Linked DNA regions of Drosophila melanogaster. The protein of the gene in region 1 interacts with the protein of each later gene in a pairwise test. Each region holds a gene or a part of one and is shown in the gene's direction. Other genes may lie near its edges. The genes, in order: yellow-g, flap, CG7606 and CG33170.

Region 1 (5,505 bases):
TATCTGTAAGCTGTTTTTGCAGAGTAAAAGAGTCTTAGCATCGTCAAATTTCCATTTGCATACTTTGCTTTTATTTATGTTGGAGCACATAAATATTTATCCACAGATTCGGCCCGACTGACAATCCCGCCCACATATCACAGCACTTATCACATCCGCCTGCTTTTGGGCATGTGTGTGCCATAAATCGGGGGATTACGATCGTGGGAAGGGGGGTTTGGACCCATGGCAGTTTATTGAATCGGAATTCACAAAAATTCAATCTGCATGTAATTTGGCATTATAGACAGACCCTTCCCATTCCGCCATGCGGAAGGAGCAGCCAGTCTGACCCCCGATGAATGGGTTATCAAAATGTTGACCCGCCGATGGTCATTTGATGATGGGCAGCTGTAAGGAGATTAAACATTTTGTGATTTAATGTAAGCCCAGTGCTGTCCATAATTCGCTGCACGAGCTGTCCCAAACAAAAGACTCTTCAGCTGGACACCGACTCCTCCACCGCTTGCCCGAATGTGTCAAAGATTTTTTATTCGCCGCTTGGCGATATGTGGGTTTCTACGAGTTAACGGGGTCATCGACCACGTCGGGCGGATACACCTCTAATCCCCCCGCAATCAACGTGCAAAAAAGTCCACCAAAGTCCACAAAGAGACTTGAGCAGCCAACAAAAAAAAATATGGCAAAAAATGTAGTTCCAGGGGGCACCCGGATTTGAACCGGGGACCTCTCGATCTGCAGTCGAATGCTCTACCCCTGAGCTATACCCCCGACTTGAAAATGGCGAACTCAGAGCGCCTTTTAAAGTTCCCTGATGCGATAAAATTTCGCCTTTGCATTTATCTTAAAATAGAAATGAAATCAATTTGGAACAGAGTGACTGTTCCGCGAAACTGTGGGTGTGATTCACACGACGAATCTCCGGCAACTTGCAATCTTATCTGCGAGTAATGTGCCCCACCAACTCCCCGAACTTTCTCCTTTCGCCCGCCCCCTCCCCCAAAAGCAAACTGATAGCTAGCTGCAGACGGACGGACTGACAGATGTTTTTGTCATCCGAAAATAGCTGGTAACTCGAGCCAAGAAACTGAAACTTTCTCGGTCGCAGATATGCAGGTCACAGACGTCAGCATTGATATTGAACTTTTGGGCCACTTTGGCAAGTGTTTCGCAGCGACCTCTGAACTTTGCCTGCCAAGGGGTGAAACTTGCTACTCTGTCGGATGCACAAGAGCGATCGATGAGTGACAGAAGCTATTTCGCAACTTGAACCCATTTTATTGAACGGACTTGAGTGACTAATTAGCTGCCTATAAATGGCTATAATAGCACAAAGTTATACTCAGAAAATAAGAGCAATAAAAGGAGTAGAAGTGATTAATTAGACAGGCATAGATTGCCATAATAGAACAAACTGTTATCAAGACAATTAAAGTAAAAACCAGGGGAGTTAAATTTGATTTGGATGGCTTAGGAAGAATCGTGTAATCTAGATAGAGGGAAGGGGTTAAGTTTGCATTTCATTTCCGCATCGCTTTCCGCATTGCTTAGAAACCGAGCGGGCTTAGAGGTCTGGCCGACTTCCGGCGTGGGCCAGACGTGCTGGCTGGGTGGTAGCCACTCCAGACAGACACTTGTTCCCCCCCGTGTCAAGCAACCAACGACCTTGCCGCAACACGCTCCACATGCTGGCTGCATAAGTCGTTGGGTATTATATATAAATGCAGGTCTACCATCGCTCAGACAGTTTTATGTTCTGGCCAACGTGGTGAATCGAGTGCAGAAGCTCTGTTTGTGGAAAGCGCAGAAAGAAACGCCGAAAAATGTCGCAGCTGCAACTGCTGCTCCTCGTCGCTTCGGCCTCCGTGGTCCTCGCGGGATACAGCTCCTCCACCGACGAGTCGACGGACGCCTCCAACTCCATTGGCGGCACCAAGTGCGACAAGAACCCGCTGAACGAACTGACCTTCCAGCTCAGCGGCAGCAGCCTCCACTGGCCCTGCGAGTCCACCAAGAACATCTACGTCCAGTCCGGCCGCTATGTGCCCCGTAACGTGATCGTGACCCGGGCCCAACTGCAGCGGGACTCCGCCTTCGTGGCGCTGCCCAGGTACAAGCAGGGCGTGCCCTTCACTCTCGGCAAGGTCAATCTAAAGAAGGGCGAGTGCCTGACCAAGATCGCACCCTATCCCTGCTGGGCCATTCAGGAGGAGGGCAACTGCCAGGCGCTGCAGTCCGTCGTGGACATAGCCGTCGATCAGAATGTGAGTGCAATTAACGCCAGTATTGTTTGGACCATTTTTTTTTTGGGGGTCAGACAAGTTGTCTCGTCCAAACTGCCAGTTCTGCCTTTAATTACGGACTGCTCGTTGTTGGCCACCATGGAGGCATAGCACTTTAACCCACACCAAATGTTTAATTCATATTTGTATCGTGGGTGGATTACAGGGTAGCATTGAAATGCTCTTAGGGCTATTCACTTTTTTTTTCTAAAAATGATTTAGTTTATCTTCTGATATTGATATTGATGTGCAGTCGCAGTGTTAAATATTTGCTAGCCCTTACAAAGTCGATCAAAATCGGGAGTTTAGCTCCAGGGTATCGTTTTCGCATTAACCCCTTGCCGGACGCACTTTTTTAATTGGTTAGCCTCGCTGTCGACCAAATATTACTTTTTTAATCAAATAAACGGGGCCACAAAAGTGAAGAGCTCCAAATAAAATTCATGCCCGTCAATTGGCGGCAGCAATTTAAGGGTAGAATAAACGGATACGGAAACGCCGAAAAAGCTGTGGGGTAAATGGAATATTATAAAGGACAAGGACTGCAGCTGAAAAGTGACAAGCAAATGCAGTGAAAAGTTCTCGAAAATAATTTTGGAAATGCTGGGAACAGGCCATCCAGCCGTGTTTTGTGCATTTCGATTGCACTTCAGAAGTTCTCAGCTTTAATTTTAAATGACAGATGCATTCGCAGATATTACAATGATGCTATTAAATATTTACATGACCTACTTACGATTGCGAGCATAAGCTGCAACTTAATAATTTCCTTCAATTATTGTTGGCGTCGAATCGTTCTCATTTAAATGCCATTCCCGTTTAGCTGCATTTATGCAAATCATTTCTTTATTTTATTTACACAAAAGTCGACGAAACAATAACAAACGGCAAACAAACGAGGCGACTGTATTTATTTATTTGCGCAATTTTCCATTCAGTGCTTTTCGCTGATACTCATTTTATGGCCACATATTTGCGAATGTGGAATTTTTAACGCCGCCAACATTTCAATTAGCCGCCAAATGAAAACATTAACAACAATCAACACGAGCTGCAATTGATAGCAATTAATAATTGCCTTCTCCGTTCGCAGGGACTTCTGTGGGCCTTGGACGTGGGCATTGTCAACACCCTGGAGCAGCCCATCCGCAGATGCAGTCCCAAGATCGTGGCCATAAACACGGCCAACCACAAGGTGGTCAAGAGCATCGACCTCAGCGACCTGGTCACCTCCGAGAGTCGGCTGCAGTTCATCGTGGTCGACTACTCCAAGGACAACAAGCCATTCGTGTGAGTTCCATTGCCTATACTCTTTTATTACCCTTAACTTCATCTGTGAAATGAGTTGTACTTAATCACTTTTTGAAATACATCAACTATGAAATTAATACCACACATTACATTATTATTAACCATTATTACTAACCATTATTTATCAGCACAATGATATTCAGAGATTCATATTGCAGTCATAAAATATTCGTTGAAATCATCGAACTGAATCAAGAGTTTGGAGTACTTTTACCACACACTTTCAATCATGCTTTCAATCAGCGATCATTGAGCCAATCAAAAGGGCATTAGCCACTTTGAGGCTCATATCTTATCTGCTCAAGGTAGTTCTCAGAAGTGTGGCTCATCATATACCAAATAAAATCGATTTGTATTGCATACATGATATCTAATCTCATTCCACATTATATTTCCTTCACTTTCAACCATAGCTATGTGGCCGATGCTGGAGCACGTAGTATCCTGGTATACGACATCACCGGCAACAAGTCCTACCGCATCGTCCTGCCGAAGGCCACCGCCCCCACCAGCGATGTGCTGTACGTGGCGCTCACCTCGAAGCCGGACGGCACCTCCACCCTGTTCTTCAGCTACCTGAGCTCCCCCCGTCTGTACTCCATCAAGGGCGAGTACCTGCGCGTTGGCCAGGGAGCGGGCTCCATCATCGACGTGGGCCCCAAGCCCTATGGCAAACAGGCGGTGCTGCTGGGCGCCGACGGCGGCACCTCGCTCTTCTTCCGCTACAAGGGCGAGAACGACATTTACCTGTGGGACTCGGAGACCTGCTTCAAGGCCGCCAATCTGCAGGAGGTGCAGCGGGGAGGCGACTGCCGGCTGTCCACCCAAGTGCTCCCGGGTCACAAGCGATTCATGTGGGCGCTGGAGAGCAACTTCCACGATTTCATCTCGGATCGCACGGGCTGCAACGGAGCCTCGATCGTCCTGCATCCTGTGGTGCGGGAATGTGACGATTGAGTCCGTATCCCTCCACTTTCTTAGGCTTAAGATTCAAACTGATTTGTTGTCGTTACTGGGTCTCATTAAAATTTTGGTGAATATTTATAGTTATTTGTAGTTTATCTTAAAATGTTCAGAATGATTTCAATTTTTTAAATAGGCATTTACTTGAATCAATATTGGTACCATGAAAACAATTCATTACTCTGACTCTGATTGGCACTTTCGAGTCTCAGCATTGAAATACTGTCCCATTGGACAGCTGTAGATCTGCAGCTGGTGATCGATGCATATGCAGTACTCATCCTTGGTGGAGACATTGGGACAGCTGAGGATCTCAAAGTCCGAGCACTGATAGATCCTATCAGTCACGCAGGTCAGGATCTTAGGATCAATTTGGAAGCCGGCGGGACAGGTCATCACCTCCAGTTCTCCATCGACGCACTTGCAGTACTCGATCTCAGAGGTTCGGAAGGGGCATTGGTACCTATCGTTGTTCATGCACGTGTGGGACTCCATCGCCTGAATGCTCCTCATGCTCCTGGTGTCGGGCACACAGCTGTAGCTGTTGAAAACGAATCCCTCGTGGCACTTCATCATCAGCGGATACAGCGAATTGGCCGTGTCATTGACGCAGACGTAGAAGTACCGATTGTCGGGCGCCCATCCACCCACTTGTCCCGACCGACTGCAGGTGAACTGCTCCTGGATGCACTGCTCACTCTCCCGTGGCAGAACACAAGTGCCCGTGAGTGTGGAGTAGCCCGCTCCGTTGGAGCAGATGCGAGGGGTGTCCACACTCTGATCGCTGCACTCGTGGTACCGCCTACAGTCGTACGGATCCGGGAACAGGCCCGCCTGCTGACAGCTGAAGGGACCTCTCTTGGGCACCTGGCACTGCGACTGGAAGGTGCATCCGAAGGTACCCTCGTCGCTGCAATAGAAATTGTACTCCGATTGGCAGCCCAGCATC
Region 2 (5,261 bases), on another chromosome or scaffold:
GTGCGACATTAATGACGATAAACAATTAATACGGCGCTTTGGGTGAAGGGTCGCGGCGACATTTCCCAACTGAGCCGACTCTATTAAAGTAAATAATATGTGGCGCTTTGTTGCCGCTCTTAGCTGACTGTGCAGTTTCCGAGATGCCAGCGTGTTGCCATTGTTGTGGCCAAAAGCCGAAAAGCCAAAAGAAACCAAGCCAAACGAAACGAAACGAGACGAAGCGGCCTGAAATGTATAAAAACGTTTGTTTTCGTAATACAATTTTGATTACTTCTTCGACGCCAGCCGCCCATTGATGGGCATTGTCTCAGCTGGGCCCCTTTGTGCGTCCCTTAGCGATTTGATTTATGGGCGGAGGAGCTGGGCGCCCAATACTCCACTCCAACAGCGCTACCGTTGGCCATTTGCCGGGATCGCGGTCCATTTGGCAATAGCTTTGTTGTAATTGTTACAATAATAACAGCCGTGATTCCCGACACCACTGCCCCCCATCAACTGGGCAATCACTGACATCGCAGTGGCATGGTTTTCGGGGCTATTCCAAATAGATATCATTCAAAGATATATTTCTCAGGAATAAGCTTTTTTAGAGATTATAGAATTTAATATTATATATACTGCTACAATTTATGTGAACCCCTTTCCTCAAACTACGCCCATTTGCACCAACTGATGGGGCGAGGAAACTCTTTTTGAAGCTCTTTTGATCGTCGAAAGCCAAATGCCGGTACAAATGCTCAAATGCGGAACCAATAAGCTGACATAATTTTTTGTGATGGGCGCTGAAAAAAAAAGAAGATTTGCTCGGGCCAAATGATAATTACATTCCAGAGACATCTGAAGATATGGTCACGGTTGGCTTTCGAATGCGATCATTACCGCACTTAAGTTTGAAGACCATAGAAGATGGTTATTCAAGGACGTAACAGAAACATATCGTTGATACTAAAGTACGAGACTATTGAACTACCTTCTATATGCAAAATATGAAAAGAATTTCATATGGGGGGCGATCATAAAGGTGATGACTTATGAGCACGAGGTGCGATGATCTAATCACCGGTCGCGTCAATAGCCGGGCGGGCCGAAATGCCAAAAGTTCATCGATCACTGACACCGCCGACCAACTCAACGCATCTTTACTGAACGCTGATCTGCCAAAAGTCTGATCGATCGATCGATTGGTTCTCTGACTCAGACCAGTCAAGAACCCAATGCACTGAGCCAGACTGAAACAGGCAAGTTTGAAATGTGTTTATGTCAACGCCGCGATTGTCAAATATTGTATTAATGAATTGAGATGGAGTCGAGAACAACAAGAACTCGCTGTGGGAACAGGATCTGGCGAATCTGTGGCACATGGAAGGCATAACTTATGCATTGTTAGCATAATAATTTTCCAAAAATCAAGCCAAACCTGTCAAAATAAACAAACCGAACGGAGCACATTCGTTTTCAATAACCATTTGCATTTCGTGTGTGTTTAATTTATGCGAAAGTTGTGTCTATTTGGGAGGCGATTTAGCTATTGTCTTGTAAATCATTTAGCGAATAGCACTAATGTTAGGCGACTGTTAGCTGGATGTTAATATTAACACCTTATCGAAATGCGGGATCAACTTCTATTTTGGTATGCTTGCTTCGTTGATATTAATATATAATACATATTACATATATTATCTTGTTCGTCATATCTACTAATCTCATAAAGATATTCGTGCTATAGACGCATTTTTAAGATAACACAAAAGTTGGCTTACAGGGGTTAATATCTGAATCCGATCATGTTGCTCGGCTGACCTTGAACGTCATTGGCAGTGCGTCAAAGTGTGGCGAGAGACCAGTATGCAAAAAAAAACTGATCACCTGGGGTAATTAAAATAATTATTTTGCACTCTTTTCCGGTTGATAGTAGTACACACACACATGGCGATCAGAAGGGTTGGAAAATTCGGGGGGAAGCTGAAAAAGGCTCTTGAATAGATAACGCTTTCGCGCGTTCGAAATTCCCATTTTTCCCAACTTACTTACTTGACACTCTGCCGCCGTCGCAGTCGGCGTCGCTGGCGACGTCGCGGCTTTAGCCAAGTCGAGCTTGGAGCAGCGGCTCTTGGCCAAGTTTATTGAAAGCGCAGAATCCGTGAGCTACGGACGTGTTTCGCTCGAGCGCATCGCGCATCTCCCAGATACGACCTACGATCTCCATCGCTCTTGCTCGCTCGCACCGCCGCCCTCCGCGCATAGCACCCTCTCGCTCGCGCACCGAAGTGATCGTGATATCGTGCCGCGGATTTTATTCCGATTGAGAAAAGGCGGTGAAAATATTACACATTATAGTTGTCGGCTTCGATTGCGACGCCTGCGATTTTGTCATCGCGATCATTGTTGGCCGGATCGACGGCTCCTACGCGATATAATTGTATTCCCGCCGATCTCGCTGCCATCCCCTTTGGGCAATGCCCAATTCCAAATTGTTAATTGCGTGACAAATTCGAAAAGGGGTTAATATATAAAGAGAAATAATACGAGCAGTAAGCCAAAACGCGAAGCTCCGTGCTCACCCACGAGATAATGCAGTTCGATCCGAAGACACGATGCGGTGGCAGCGTGGTTAGCTTTACCGTTATGCTGCTGCTGATCATCGGCGCCGATTTCGCCGCTGGAAGGCCTGGTATTAAATTAAAGCAGCCTATATAGATATAAACTAAGGCGATTGCAATTGCGATTGCGATTGCGCTATCGGATCGCATATTCAATTCGCACCAGCATGCGAATCGGATTTTTGAAACGGCGATCCTCTTCGCTTTTTTTTTGTCTTTACCTCTTTCCTATTTGCGGTTTACGTTTTAAATGTTATGTGTGCTTATTGCGTTTTTTTCTGGAAGAAGCTACAAGTTTATGGGTGACATACAAAGTTATAGATATTATAAATATATGGCATAAATATTATGCCAGTCAAACCTGCTTGAGTAACATTACCATCTATGAATATTTTATAACTTGTGTATAGAATAGCACACCCATGACTTTCAGCTTCTTCTTGACGTTGTTATCTGTAACTAATTTTACGATTTTATCTCGATCCTACTAAGATTTATTCTGAACTGATCCCGAGCCCCCCTCCCCCTTCCTCTGTCTATGAATATCTGTTAGAAATTCCAATTCTTCACTCACTTTTTGCATATACAATCTCACCCTCACTTTCCATTTGCATTTGCATTTCCAAAACTCACCGGTGCACAAGTTCGAACTCACCCCACAGTTAACTTCGATCGTGATCGTGATCATGACCCACATCGGTGGGTAGGCAAGTGCTATCCCACAGCTAACAACTAATGACAGTTGCACCAATAGAACACTCACTGGGTCTGAAATCAATTGAAATATTGGCTAATTTTTATTTAGGATGTCAATACATATATGGAACCACTTTGTTTATGGATGTCCACAGAGAAGAGTATATCTTAAAATACTAATTTTTTCAGAGAAGTGCATTCTCTTGACTTGTCCCGAAGGCTTATGCATGCAATTAGCCTTCGCCGTTGAAGAGCCTTTATAAATGCAGCCTTAAGCTGTTTTTGTTTGACAAACAAACTGAAGAACTGGGTGCTGATCATTAAGTTTTTTTTGGACTGAAAGCGAAATCAGGTAGCCGCTGTAAAAACAAACAGCGAAGTTCCCAAAGGCAAAGCCGTAAGAAAAACGAAATTCGAGAAGAGCCGTTGTGAAGAGGCCCCCGAAGAAAACCCAAAACCAAAGCCAAAACTCCAACTCCAATCTCAAGACGAAACTGAAACCCAGAGCTCCAGCAAGTGGAGTTACGTAAGCTGAAGATAACGTGACTGGCAAGGCTTCGGCGATGTCGTTGTCGATCCGTCTTCCTCTTGGCGTTTGGGGGGTTAAAGGAGGGGTTAAACGACCTCTGGAATGGAGTCCCTTGGGGGGTAGTCCATGTAGTTCATAAATTTAGCGACGCTTTTGTCAAGACGATCTGTTAACTAAGTTGTTTACACCAACTAGAGACTAATGTCGGGGCGCTCTTTTTGGGTCATGGGGCCACAAGCAAGAAGCTGTGACAAGAAACTGAGGATTTCGAGAATGAATGTACCAGAAAACGGTTTAAAGACTTGGCCAAAACCCATTGACCAACTAGACAAGTTAATTGGCTACTAACAATTAAAACCAATCCATAAACTTAGAGCTCATTCAAAGCACCCATGATGGAAATATCATTGGAGCCTAATGGTTTTGTTTGGCACGAAATAGTTATATTTCGGTCGCGGTTTTCATATTCGGCAATCAATGAACCCATCATAATGAATGGACCCGTACGTGATAATTAGCGAATTCGCACGGATCTGAAATGGGTAATCGTGCCTCACTTTCGCGTGCCTTGATTTATGATTCAGTCGCAGATTATCGTAATTAAAACACAATAGGATATCAACCAGTTATGGATATAGATGAAGATATGTAGACACATGAGTGGCGGCAGTTTGGAGTTTCGACATAGCCAACTAACTCTTGCCAATTTATCAAAGACAGCCGACACATTCCAATCTATATAGAATTGGTTCTGGGGCCATTCTAAACCGCAAATATTTATTCATTTATGGGAGAGTTCGGTTTCCGTTTTAGTCAACTTGCCCCTTGACATTTTTGAGCCAATCACAATTGAATCATATTTCATCTGGCTATTTCAAGTGCAATAAACACATTTCGTTTCTCATCGAAGTATAATTTACAAGTTGGGATTGTGTTTTGGCGATTTGGCACGGCATTTGACACATTTCGTTAGCCGTTTCTGTGTGGGATGACAGCCCAATATGTCGATACCTCCAAGGTCTGCGAGATGATATAAACGAAGATTAATAAAAATCCATTACAATTTTTGTTCGCTGATTCCGGCGAAGGTTGGCCAGGCACAGAAACATGTCAAAATCAAGAAGATGGTAAACAAACTGTAAAATTGGCAAGTGCAAAATGTTTTCAACAGAAATACCCATTGTCTCTAGGTGGGTGCAGATGTCGTGAAGCCGTCAATCAATTAAAAATTAAATTCAATAAACATAAACAGTGAGGGAGATGGCGATGGTGATGGAGATGGAGATGTCGATGCGAATGAAGATTTCGCTGGAGACAAGCAAAATTAATTGGCCTGAACTTGAGCACCGTTTGCGGCGGAAGTGTGGGGAATTTCGATAATTTCGGCATAATCCGCGAGATACGAGATATAACACTTTCGGCCGCCAGCCGTG
Region 3 (4,652 bases), on another chromosome or scaffold:
CTGCCCAGCAGCCGAAGTTTCAAGCAGTATCATTAATTGCACGATCAATCGCCTAAAATGTTCAATATTATCCTTCTGGCAACAATCCTAGTGAGCGTGGCTCAGGCCACAATCATCATTAAGCCCGAAAATCCCGTGGAGGAGACCACCAAGTGCCAGATCTACTGGCGCGAACACGCCTGGGCTCTTGAAGATTGTGTGTGCCGGGTCTTCCAGAACGGCTGTCTTCTGAACGAGGAGAGCAATCGGCGGGAAAAGGCTGGAAAAACCCGTAAGATGATATGCTATTAAAACACTATCATTTAGTTATACCTTATTTTTGTTTATATTTTTCAGCTCTAATTCCGGTCACCGAGCAGGTGTGCCAGAAGTTCATCAAGCGCAAGTGCTTCCTTGGATGGCCTGTGCTGGCCAAGTTCCCGATTCCATCGCCATGCGGATGCAATGGCAAACAGGGCAGTCTGGAAATCAAGAAGTTTTTGAGTCTGTGCGAACTGCAGAAGTACGCAGCTGAATGCAACAAACGTAAGTTGATGTTTGTATAGAAATATAGTTAATAACATAAATAATTATATCTTTCAGCCTATATCAGCTACTCGAAGTGTTAAAAGATGACTTGTAATTGATGATGATAATTTGACTACCTCGAACGCGTCCTTGTTAAAAATAATGAATAAACATTTTAAAGCAGCAAACGTTTTTGTTACATTTGTCTTAAGAGTTGATTGACTAAGCGCCTAAAACGGTGCATTATTACCTGATTTTATAAGTCTTCGTTGCTTATGTTTTTTAGAGTCTGTTTTTAGGAACCTGTGTGATAAAGCTTTTTTTTGGAGTGGAAAATTTATGGCTGTGTTTTTTTGGCCAGTCAAGGTTGTTTGCGTACGTTCTGCAAACATTTTACTTTCAGATGCACTAAGTCAATAAAGCGCTTTGCCACAACTGCTAAAACAGTGGAGTGTATTCAATATAAATAGCCAAATGAGATATTATGGGGACAGTTATATTCTTAGCCACTTTTACGACATGTTCAATATTAAATTGCTGCTTTTGTTATTGGCCGTTTCGTGGTTCCACCATGGACAAGCCGTCCAGGAGACGAAAATCGAAGAAAAACCAGTATCAGAGCCTGAAATTGAATCCGAAATAAAGAACTCTACGAGCGTCCCAAGTAAATGCAATATTTACTATAGGAACTACCAATGGGCTCTTCAGGATTGTGTCTGCCGTTGTTTCCAAAACGAATGCCTTATGCAAATCGAGAGCGACCAGCGCAAAAAGGAGGGTAGATCCCGTAAGTAAATTAACCAGTTAAGTAAAAAGTATTTTATTTATATCTTGTAAATACAGCATTTGTGCCCGTTACGGAGGAACTCTGCCGTTCCTTCATCTGCAAAAAGTGCAGCGTGGGTTTCCCCGTGGTTGCTGAATTCCCCATTCCGGCTCCCTGTGGATGCAATCGAAAGCCAGGATCGATTGCCACAGAGAGATTCTACAGTTTGTGCCACCTGCTGAAATTCTCAGCGGAGAACAGCAAACGTAAGTCAAAAGAATTGGTTCCAAATTTTCGGTAATATATACATTTTGTATCTTTACAGCATTCCTGACTTATTCCTATTGTTGGCCCTTCTAAGTGAGGTGGATTCAGTTGGATCACGTTACTAATATCTTTGTTTGTTTGTTTTATTATTTTGTTGATTTGTTCATTTAAAGGGAGATGGATTACAAATAATAAAGAAATATATTCAATGACGAGTGCAATAAATTTTTTTGAATATGAAAATCTTTTTTAGACTAAACAGCTATGCATATGTTTAAACATTGAAAAGCTTTTTATTTTTCAACACCATAATTTATTTATTTTTTTGGTCTTTAACTTTTGGTTAAATGTCATTTTTTTTCCTTAAAAACCAGTAAATAGTATTTACATATATTGAAAATATTTACAAATCAATTATAAACGCAGAACGAAGTGTTATCAACCTTGAATCGACTATAAATTTAAAGAAAACATATATTATTGATAAATAAAAAGGCGCAGAGCCACTCGTTTACTTAATCAGCAGTGATAGCCTAAAATAGAATAAAAGATCAACTGATCAAATAATGCCCTACCCCCAAGTTGAACCTATAAAGAGTCGATCCTCATTCCGCCTTGGCACAGTTTCAAGTGGACTTCGATTTCTACAGCCAGACAATGTTCAATATAAAGTTAATCATCCTGGTTGCCCTGACCATCTCCATGGTCCAGAGCTGTTCCGTTGAGGAGCCGGAACAGGTCGAGTGCGGGTGTGGGTGTGGCAAGCCGCAGTGCCTCTCTTGCGGATCCAGATCCTGCGGATGTGGCTGCAACCCCTGTCGATGTCCTTCCTCTTCCGGGTGTGGCTGCAAGGATTAATCCAGGACTCCAGGTAGGTGTAGCACAAAAATGGTGTAAAATATTTCATTAATATACCCAAATTGCAGGACCCCTTCAGAACTTTGCCTTCACAAAACCTTCGTTTTTCAAATTATTTGTTTTTCCTTTTCATTAAAGTACTGATACATTTTGCAAACTTTCATCTTTTCGCACTTTGTGCGCTCAATTGTAAAGGGAGCGGTACAATGAGCAGACAATCATTTTCATTGCATTGATCACTTTTTTATTCATATTCGTTCACTCGTTGGCAAAGTAATTCCTTTGTTCTTTCCACCACGCTTTCTTGATTTCCCCAGTTCCGAGTTCCGAAATGGGAAAACAAAAGGAAAAGTAATCATATCGGGACCCCATTCGCCTGCCTTTTCCCTCGGCTACATCTCGTTTGCACTTTTCTACGTGAATTGCTTCCTTTGTCCTTTTAGCTGGAGTCCTGCAGTATTTAATTTCATTTGAAGGATTCCAAAGCCAGGCTTGTCTTCGAATTGGAAAAGTAAAGAGTTTATTTATCCGTGCTAAACACACTTCGGTTCAAATTGGCGTATCTGACCAAGTTCCTCCTAGTATCCTTTAAATATGGATACAGATGACCCAACTGTCGAGCCGCAGGATGCCTGCGCCTAATAGCCGTAAAAGCCTTATCGAGTCATTTAGTATGAAAACAAGCAATTAAAATGATGAATATGCAATAAACGTGGATTGTGTATACAGACCCATTCGCTGGCGAGCACAACCACTGCCTCTCAAATAAAGGACAACTCATACATTTTATATGCTAATGAGCGGCACAAAAAAATAAAGGAGTCGACATTTTTTGGGAGTGAATTGAAAGGAATAAGGCGAGCATACATTTGCCTAATGAAAATAGCGCCATTAAAATGGGAAAAACAACTTTAGATACCGAAATTCGAAACACGGCGACGTCTGGCAATTAAAAGGATACGAATGGAACAAGCTCCTATCAACTACCCGCTGTGATGTTGAATATGTATGCATTCTATCTATATATATATATGTATATATATATATATCCACATGATCACCTAGCAAATTAGAGATTAACACGCATGTGTCGTCCTTTTTGGGCAGTCCTTTTGACTTCTGGTTCATTGACCGCCGCCGTGGCAATAAAAGTAAATGGATCTGAAAACTTGGCGGCCGGTTTTATAACTTAACGAATTAGAGCAATTTGAGAAGAACTATAAAAACGTCCGGAAAACCGCAGAGGTATGTTGAAAATGTTTGGTGAAAAATTTCCAGCGGCGCGTGCCGTTTCATTTAGGTAAGGTGGGCCAAATACCAAGGGGTGTGTTCAATAGGCCACAACGGACATTAGAACGCGAAAGGGAGGATCCATATCAGTGGAAAATTAAGTGCATTTCGAGGACTTAAAAATTGGTAATTAGTGGGGGGAATAGGGAGAATGACGGGACACACCCGTGCCAGTTCATAATTGCTGTATTGCTGCATCTTGTGCTATGCAAACATATTAATTAATTCGAGGCCTATGCGCCTGTCAGTTGTCAGTTGTTGGTTGTTGGTTGTTGTTGTGCATCGCATCTTGGCCCAAACCGATTCAGTGAGGGTCAAGTCGGGTCGGGTCAACAACTTAATTATAGTGCTTAGTGTGTGTGTTTTGCATTTCAGCGTCCAATTTATTATTTGTTTCTCCAATTGCTTGACCCGCCACGCCCCGCACTAATTTGATAATTGCATAGTTGCAATTGCGTGTGTGCGCGTGCATTTGCGGTCGGCGGCTCATAAGCCCGTCTGATGGGTTAATTGGCCTTTAATTTGTTGCAAATTTACCGCGCGGCCAGCAATGGCTGCCCAATACTCCACATAGTGTCCAACACAATGTTCGAATTATATTTACAGCTGTACTCTGGTCTCTCGATGAAATTTTGTGATTTAGGTGCAGTGTTTTAAATGTGATTTGCATTAGCTCAATCCCTTTGGCCGGAAATTAGTCGCACCCGAAACTTGGTAAGCCAAATAAAATGGTTGAGTGACAAGTGGCTAAACGAAATTGATTGATGAGACAGCCGCAAAATCGAGCTAAAACTTTGACACAGAATCTCCGGGCGGAGATAGCTGGCAGGATGCGGGATTTCAATCTCCGCAGCGCAATGCGGATACTTATCACGAGTCCTTTTCGGCACGAGTCGTACAAATATTGTGACAGGAAAGGGGTCGGTCACGAATGTAAATGTATTGACATTAATGTAGCAATTGT
Region 4 (4,771 bases), about 21 Mb from region 1:
TTAATTGATGGCTTTCTAACTTATGAAATGCGTTATTTAATTATAAAGACTTTTTTAAACGCGCGCTTCCGTCCCAGAGACATTGTTCAACACTAGTCGGCCGGACGTGTCATCAGAGTAACCCGACCAGAAACTGCATGAAATAAGCAGCACTGTCGACAGTCAAAAGCTGCCTGCTTTTAGCCAGCCCAGTCGAACGTTTCTTCTTCTTCTTTGGCCCAGAAACAACTTGTTGAACGAAAGAAGGCCAGCTCTCTGTTTTGTTGCTCCACGCACACACATTCCGACGAGTGTTACACGTCACCAGATTAAAGGAACTATCGCAAAAACTATCAGTGATAAAGATGCGCCAGCTGAAGGGAAAGGTGAAGGAGACGCGCAAACAGAAGAAGGAGCGCAAGCTGGACAACCTGGAGACCCAGGCGAAGATCCGCACCGTGGTGCTGCCGGCGCTCGGCGTTTTGGCGGTCTTTCTGGTGCTGTTCGTCTACTTGAAGACCCGCCCCGCGGTCTTGGCCTAATGTAGTCATAAAATGTAGTTTATAGTCGTGGTCAGTGCAATTGAATCGTTGTAAAGACATATAGCCTTAATAGTACAATTAAATCACAGTTCGTCCATCCAAAAAGCATGTTTTACATAAAGTGGATTTTCCATGACACGAACAACACCCTGCTGTTCAAGTGCAGTTCCTGGGAATTTGAGATTTGGGGACAAAATGTATCCGAATTACGGTCGTTGGTGGTAGTGTTGAAAACCGTCTAGCGCTTTGGCGGTTGATTAAAAAAGGGCACTAGGAAACGGTAAAAACCGTAGCAGAGGCACTTCAATATGTAAATATGTGCATATGTATATTAGAGAAGGCGGCATCCACCAACATGTTTTATTTTTGGCCGTTTTGCGTTCAGTTTTTAATTGCGATTGCCCTTGTTTCAGTTTCACTTACGCCCGTCCACCGAGGAGCTCGTCGTCGGTGACCGCAAACTAATAATTGTTAATACATATGCATATGCATGTACATAAATTGAAGTAAAAGTTCAGTGCTCGAAAGGCAGTAACTTAACTCCATAGTTATCAGAGTCAGCCAAATACGATTACCTAACCATACAAACACAAATCGCAGTGGGCCAGTCAGCTGTTTTCAGATTCCGAGCAGCTGCAGACGAAGCGCCGAAGCAGCGTCGTTTGACGTTTCTTTTTCACATTCTCTCACTTTTGCTAAGACTCTCACGCTGGCGGCTGCGGGTGACAAAGGCTCCTTTAACTATTCCACTATGCTCAAGTTTCTGGTAAGTTTTCCGGTTTCCTGATGTTTTTAAGTTTATGATTCACACCTGAAATCATATCAGATACGAGATACAACTTTTCTGTGGTTTTTGTGGTTGTGTTGCTTTTCGCGGCGATGACGCGCCCCTGCACAGTGGTGAAATGTGTTGTCTAGGGGTTCAAAATCAAAACCAATTATTTGATTAAATATTAATGATTAATATAAATGACAAAATGTAATACATTTGAAAATACCTTCCCAATATCTAACTTCAACAAATAAAAAAATAGTATTAAAAGTTTAAGCAAAATTCAAAATATTCTTGCTCGGATAAAACAAGAGTGGATTGGTAAAACGGTAGAAAGTGCGCCAAAACACCAGTTAAATAGATTCCAAAATTGGTTCAATTTGAGTTTACTTCCCAGTGTGCGCTGTTTGAATACATACATAAGTGACTTTTGGTTCAACGTTATATAAGGCCTCACAAATTCAAATATCCACAAAAATAAAATAATCACCTAGTCGTTGGAAATTATGTCGACCATGACCGCTCAAGCCATGAGTAAACAGATTCGGACTCTTTGAAAAACAACACAGGCCTCACCAAATTGATCGTTTATATAGACTGGAAGTTAAAATGAAACTGCTTGGACTTGGGGCGCAGGTTTTGAGGCTCAAAACTGGCGGGCAGAGTCGCTCTGCGAAAACTTGCCCACCGGAAGTTCGCCAGCCATTGCCGTGCTGTCCCAAAAAACGCTTTTGGACTTTCAAGCGAGTAATATGTTTCTCGACGGTCAGCATGCGAAATAGACATCTTCAGGAAGATTTTCACAACCCACTCTAATAATCCTCCTTTCTCCATTCCAGTTAACTTTTGGCGCCGGGGTGTATACGGGAATCTATGTCTCACAGAACTATGAGGTAAGCCACCTAACCCACATTTGTTCTTGCTCCTAATACAGTGGCTTTTTTAGGTCCCCCGAGTGGATGATCCCCAGAAGTTGATGCAGCGTTTCAACGAGAAACTCAAAGAACTAATGGATCAAACCAAGAACAAGTAACAGCCTTGGTAGTTTCGTACAAGGATAACGTTACCTTCACTAAATTCAAAAAAGTCATAGAGCGACCTTTGTAATTTTTTTTTTTTTTTTTTTTATAATTTTTTTTATTATTTATTGAATCTTCCCTTTGTGTTAAGAGACTAACAATAAGTGTTCAAATCTTAATCTAACTTAATTAACTTTCACTTAGTGATAGTTTTTTTTTTTTTCATTAATGCCCTAATAAGTTTATTGCTGGGCTGGGAGGTCGTTGCGGTGCAGCCGGCTTTGACTGCATACTCGGATTAGTTTTCTTGCGAGGGGATTTGTATGGGTGGTCAGCTTTTCGTTATACTTCGTTTTTTTCTCAGCTATTACTTCGATTACTAATTTGATTTTTAGGTCTCTGTGTATGTTTTCGTTTCGAAGGTACCACGGCGCTCCAGTGATAATTCTCAGAATTCTTGACTGTGCTCGCTGAATAATGTCTATGTTACTTCTGGATGCGTTGCCCCACAGCTCGGAGCCATAAGTCCAGATAGGTTTTAAGACGGAGTTGTATAGAAGAGCTTTGAACTCCAGACTAAGTGGAGAGCGAGCATTTATGAGCCAGTGGAGGTTCCTTGCTTTAAGTTTAAGATGTTTCGATTTGGCTTCTATATGTTTGCGCCAAGTGAGCCGCCTGTCCAGATGAACTCCCAGATATGTTACCTCGTCGGCTTGTGGAATGCATATGTTATTCAAGACCAGTGGTGGGCATGTTTGTTTGTTTAAGGTAAAGGTAACCTGCTTGCATTTTTGAACATTTATTGAAATTCTCCAGTCGGCAAGCCATCGTTCTACAGATGTTAAGTGTCGGGATAGGAGTGCCGTGGCTTTTATTGGGCATTTCGAGCGACTGAGTATCGCGGTATCATCAGCGAACGTGGAGGTTGTTAGATTGTAGTCTATGGGGAAATCCGCCGTATACAGGGTGTATAAGATTGGACCCAGTACACTGCCTTGCGGCACTCCAGCTTCGATTGCGCAATCGCGTGAAGTGCTTGTATCGCATCTTATTGCAAACACTCTGTTATATAGGTATGACTTCAGTAGCTTATGTGTGTTTTGGGGCAACAGCTTGATTATTTTAAACAAAAGTCCATCGAGCCACACTCTGTCAAATGCCTTTGTAATTAAAATTGTAAAAATTTTATAAGTCGAACTTGTCAACTAAACCTGGATTTTTTTTCGATATCTTATATTAAGCTTTCCACGCGCTTGTTTTACAAATTCTGAAAATAGGACAAAGTGCTGAAAAAATGCGTGCGAAGTCGTGATGATATCTTTCTACTGTGGTGAATGATGGCTTTTCCGAATAAAAATTTGTTGCCAGGTGCAACCATGACGAAATCAATGCTAAATAAGATCATATTATCATTCTGTATCTTAATTATTTTACTATTTTCTTTAACAGATCGCCCGGCGAGAAACTAGTGGATGACATCAAAAAGGAGGCCAAGAAGATACTAGACGACTGACTGGCGGAATAAGACCACAATTTTAGTTTAAACCAATTTATCTATGATCAAATAAAGAGAATCTATATGTGTAAAACTAGACAAACGAAATTCCTCCGCCGTAATATTCCAGGCGTGTCTGAGGCTGGACAAATGCCAACCAATCGGAGGCGTGGGTGGGGAGGAGCCCCATGCTCTGGCACTTGTAGAGGGCCAAAGCCACGTTTGCTAGGTTGCCCAGGAAGTAGACGATGCGCTGGCCAGTTCCCTGGGCCCCCTCCGCCATTTTGGAAGTCACCTGGGTGGTGAAGATGGCCTTGATAGGCCGGATCAGCATCATGCCGACCATCATGATGGGAAAAATGGAAATCGAGTTTCCTGACATGTACATGATGAATAGATTCATGGGAATCTGAGGGAATCCAAAGGTTAAGCACGGGTCTTTCCAAAGGGCTGCTACTCACGTTCTTAAGAGGTCCCAGGGCAAGGTCCCACGACTTCTTGATGACCAGGCGCTGGTCGCGCACCACTTCACTCTGGTTCACCAAAGCAGATGGATTGTAGCCCAGCGGCGAAGGAATATCAGCATTTTTGCTGCAGGAAAAAGCAAAAGTGGTAAGAACTTGAGTCACCGCGCAGGCTAGCAATCCTTACCTCCCGTTAAAGTCCAGCGCCCACTTTAACTTTTTTGGGTTTTGCTTGGCGGACATGCTGTGCTTTCTTTTATTTAATCTTTTGCCAATTTATAAAACAAAATGACGATTTTTTCTGACAATTGGTCGCTGAGTGTTGTTCAACGTTAAATTCCGAAATTATTGTAGTGTAGACAATTCGATAGGCAACTGATGTGTATGGCACCAGGGTATCGATAGGCAGTTACGATTTTGCGCGGACTTTTTGAAACGCATGTGCAAAAATCGAACAGCGCAGTAGTTTTCATTAATATTTAAATTTTATTTCAAATTAC

The links.
Region 2: the proteins of yellow-g (region 1) and flap interact in a two-hybrid assay, tested with the Drosophila melanogaster proteins (one large-scale study listed by BioGRID).
Region 3: the proteins of yellow-g (region 1) and CG7606 interact in a two-hybrid assay, tested with the Drosophila melanogaster proteins (one large-scale study listed by BioGRID).
Region 4: the proteins of yellow-g (region 1) and CG33170 interact in a two-hybrid assay, tested with the Drosophila melanogaster proteins (one large-scale study listed by BioGRID).

What each region holds. Positions count from the first base shown.
Region 1 is NT_037436.4:2,269,010-2,274,514, reverse strand, and holds yellow-g (yellow-g), read left to right. Parts: upstream 1-1,745; 5' UTR 1,746-1,823; coding exon 1,824-2,264; intron 2,265-3,375; coding exon 3,376-3,572; intron 3,573-4,006; coding exon 4,007-4,550; 3' UTR 4,551-4,634; downstream 4,635-5,505. Other genes in the region: CG32302 (uncharacterized protein), read right to left, coding at 4,734-5,505.
Region 2 is NT_033778.4:22,096,395-22,101,655, reverse strand, and holds the start of flap (flapper), read left to right. Parts: upstream 1-2,121; 5' UTR 2,122-2,574; coding exon 2,575-2,674; intron 2,675-5,261.
Region 3 is NT_033777.3:17,594,366-17,599,017, forward strand, and holds CG7606 (uncharacterized protein), read left to right. Parts: upstream 1-2,170; 5' UTR 2,171-2,197; coding exon 2,198-2,398; 3' UTR 2,399-2,411; intron 2,412-2,466; 3' UTR 2,467-4,088; downstream 4,089-4,652. Other genes in the region: Sgs5bis, read left to right, coding at 58-271, 337-525, 583-608; Sgs5 (salivary gland secretion 5), read left to right, coding at 1,027-1,294, 1,351-1,539, 1,599-1,633.
Region 4 is NT_037436.4:22,863,639-22,868,409, forward strand, and holds CG33170 (uncharacterized protein), read left to right. Parts: upstream 1-1,847; 5' UTR 1,848-1,902; coding exon 1,903-2,058; intron 2,059-2,132; coding exon 2,133-2,186; intron 2,187-2,239; coding exon 2,240-2,326; 3' UTR 2,327-2,396; intron 2,397-3,477; 3' UTR 3,478-3,761; coding exon of another isoform or gene 3,762-3,825; 3' UTR 3,826-3,897; downstream 3,898-4,771. Other genes in the region: CG33169 (uncharacterized protein), read left to right, coding at 345-521; EMC4 (ER membrane protein complex subunit 4), read right to left, coding at 3,902-4,216, 4,269-4,398, 4,459-4,514.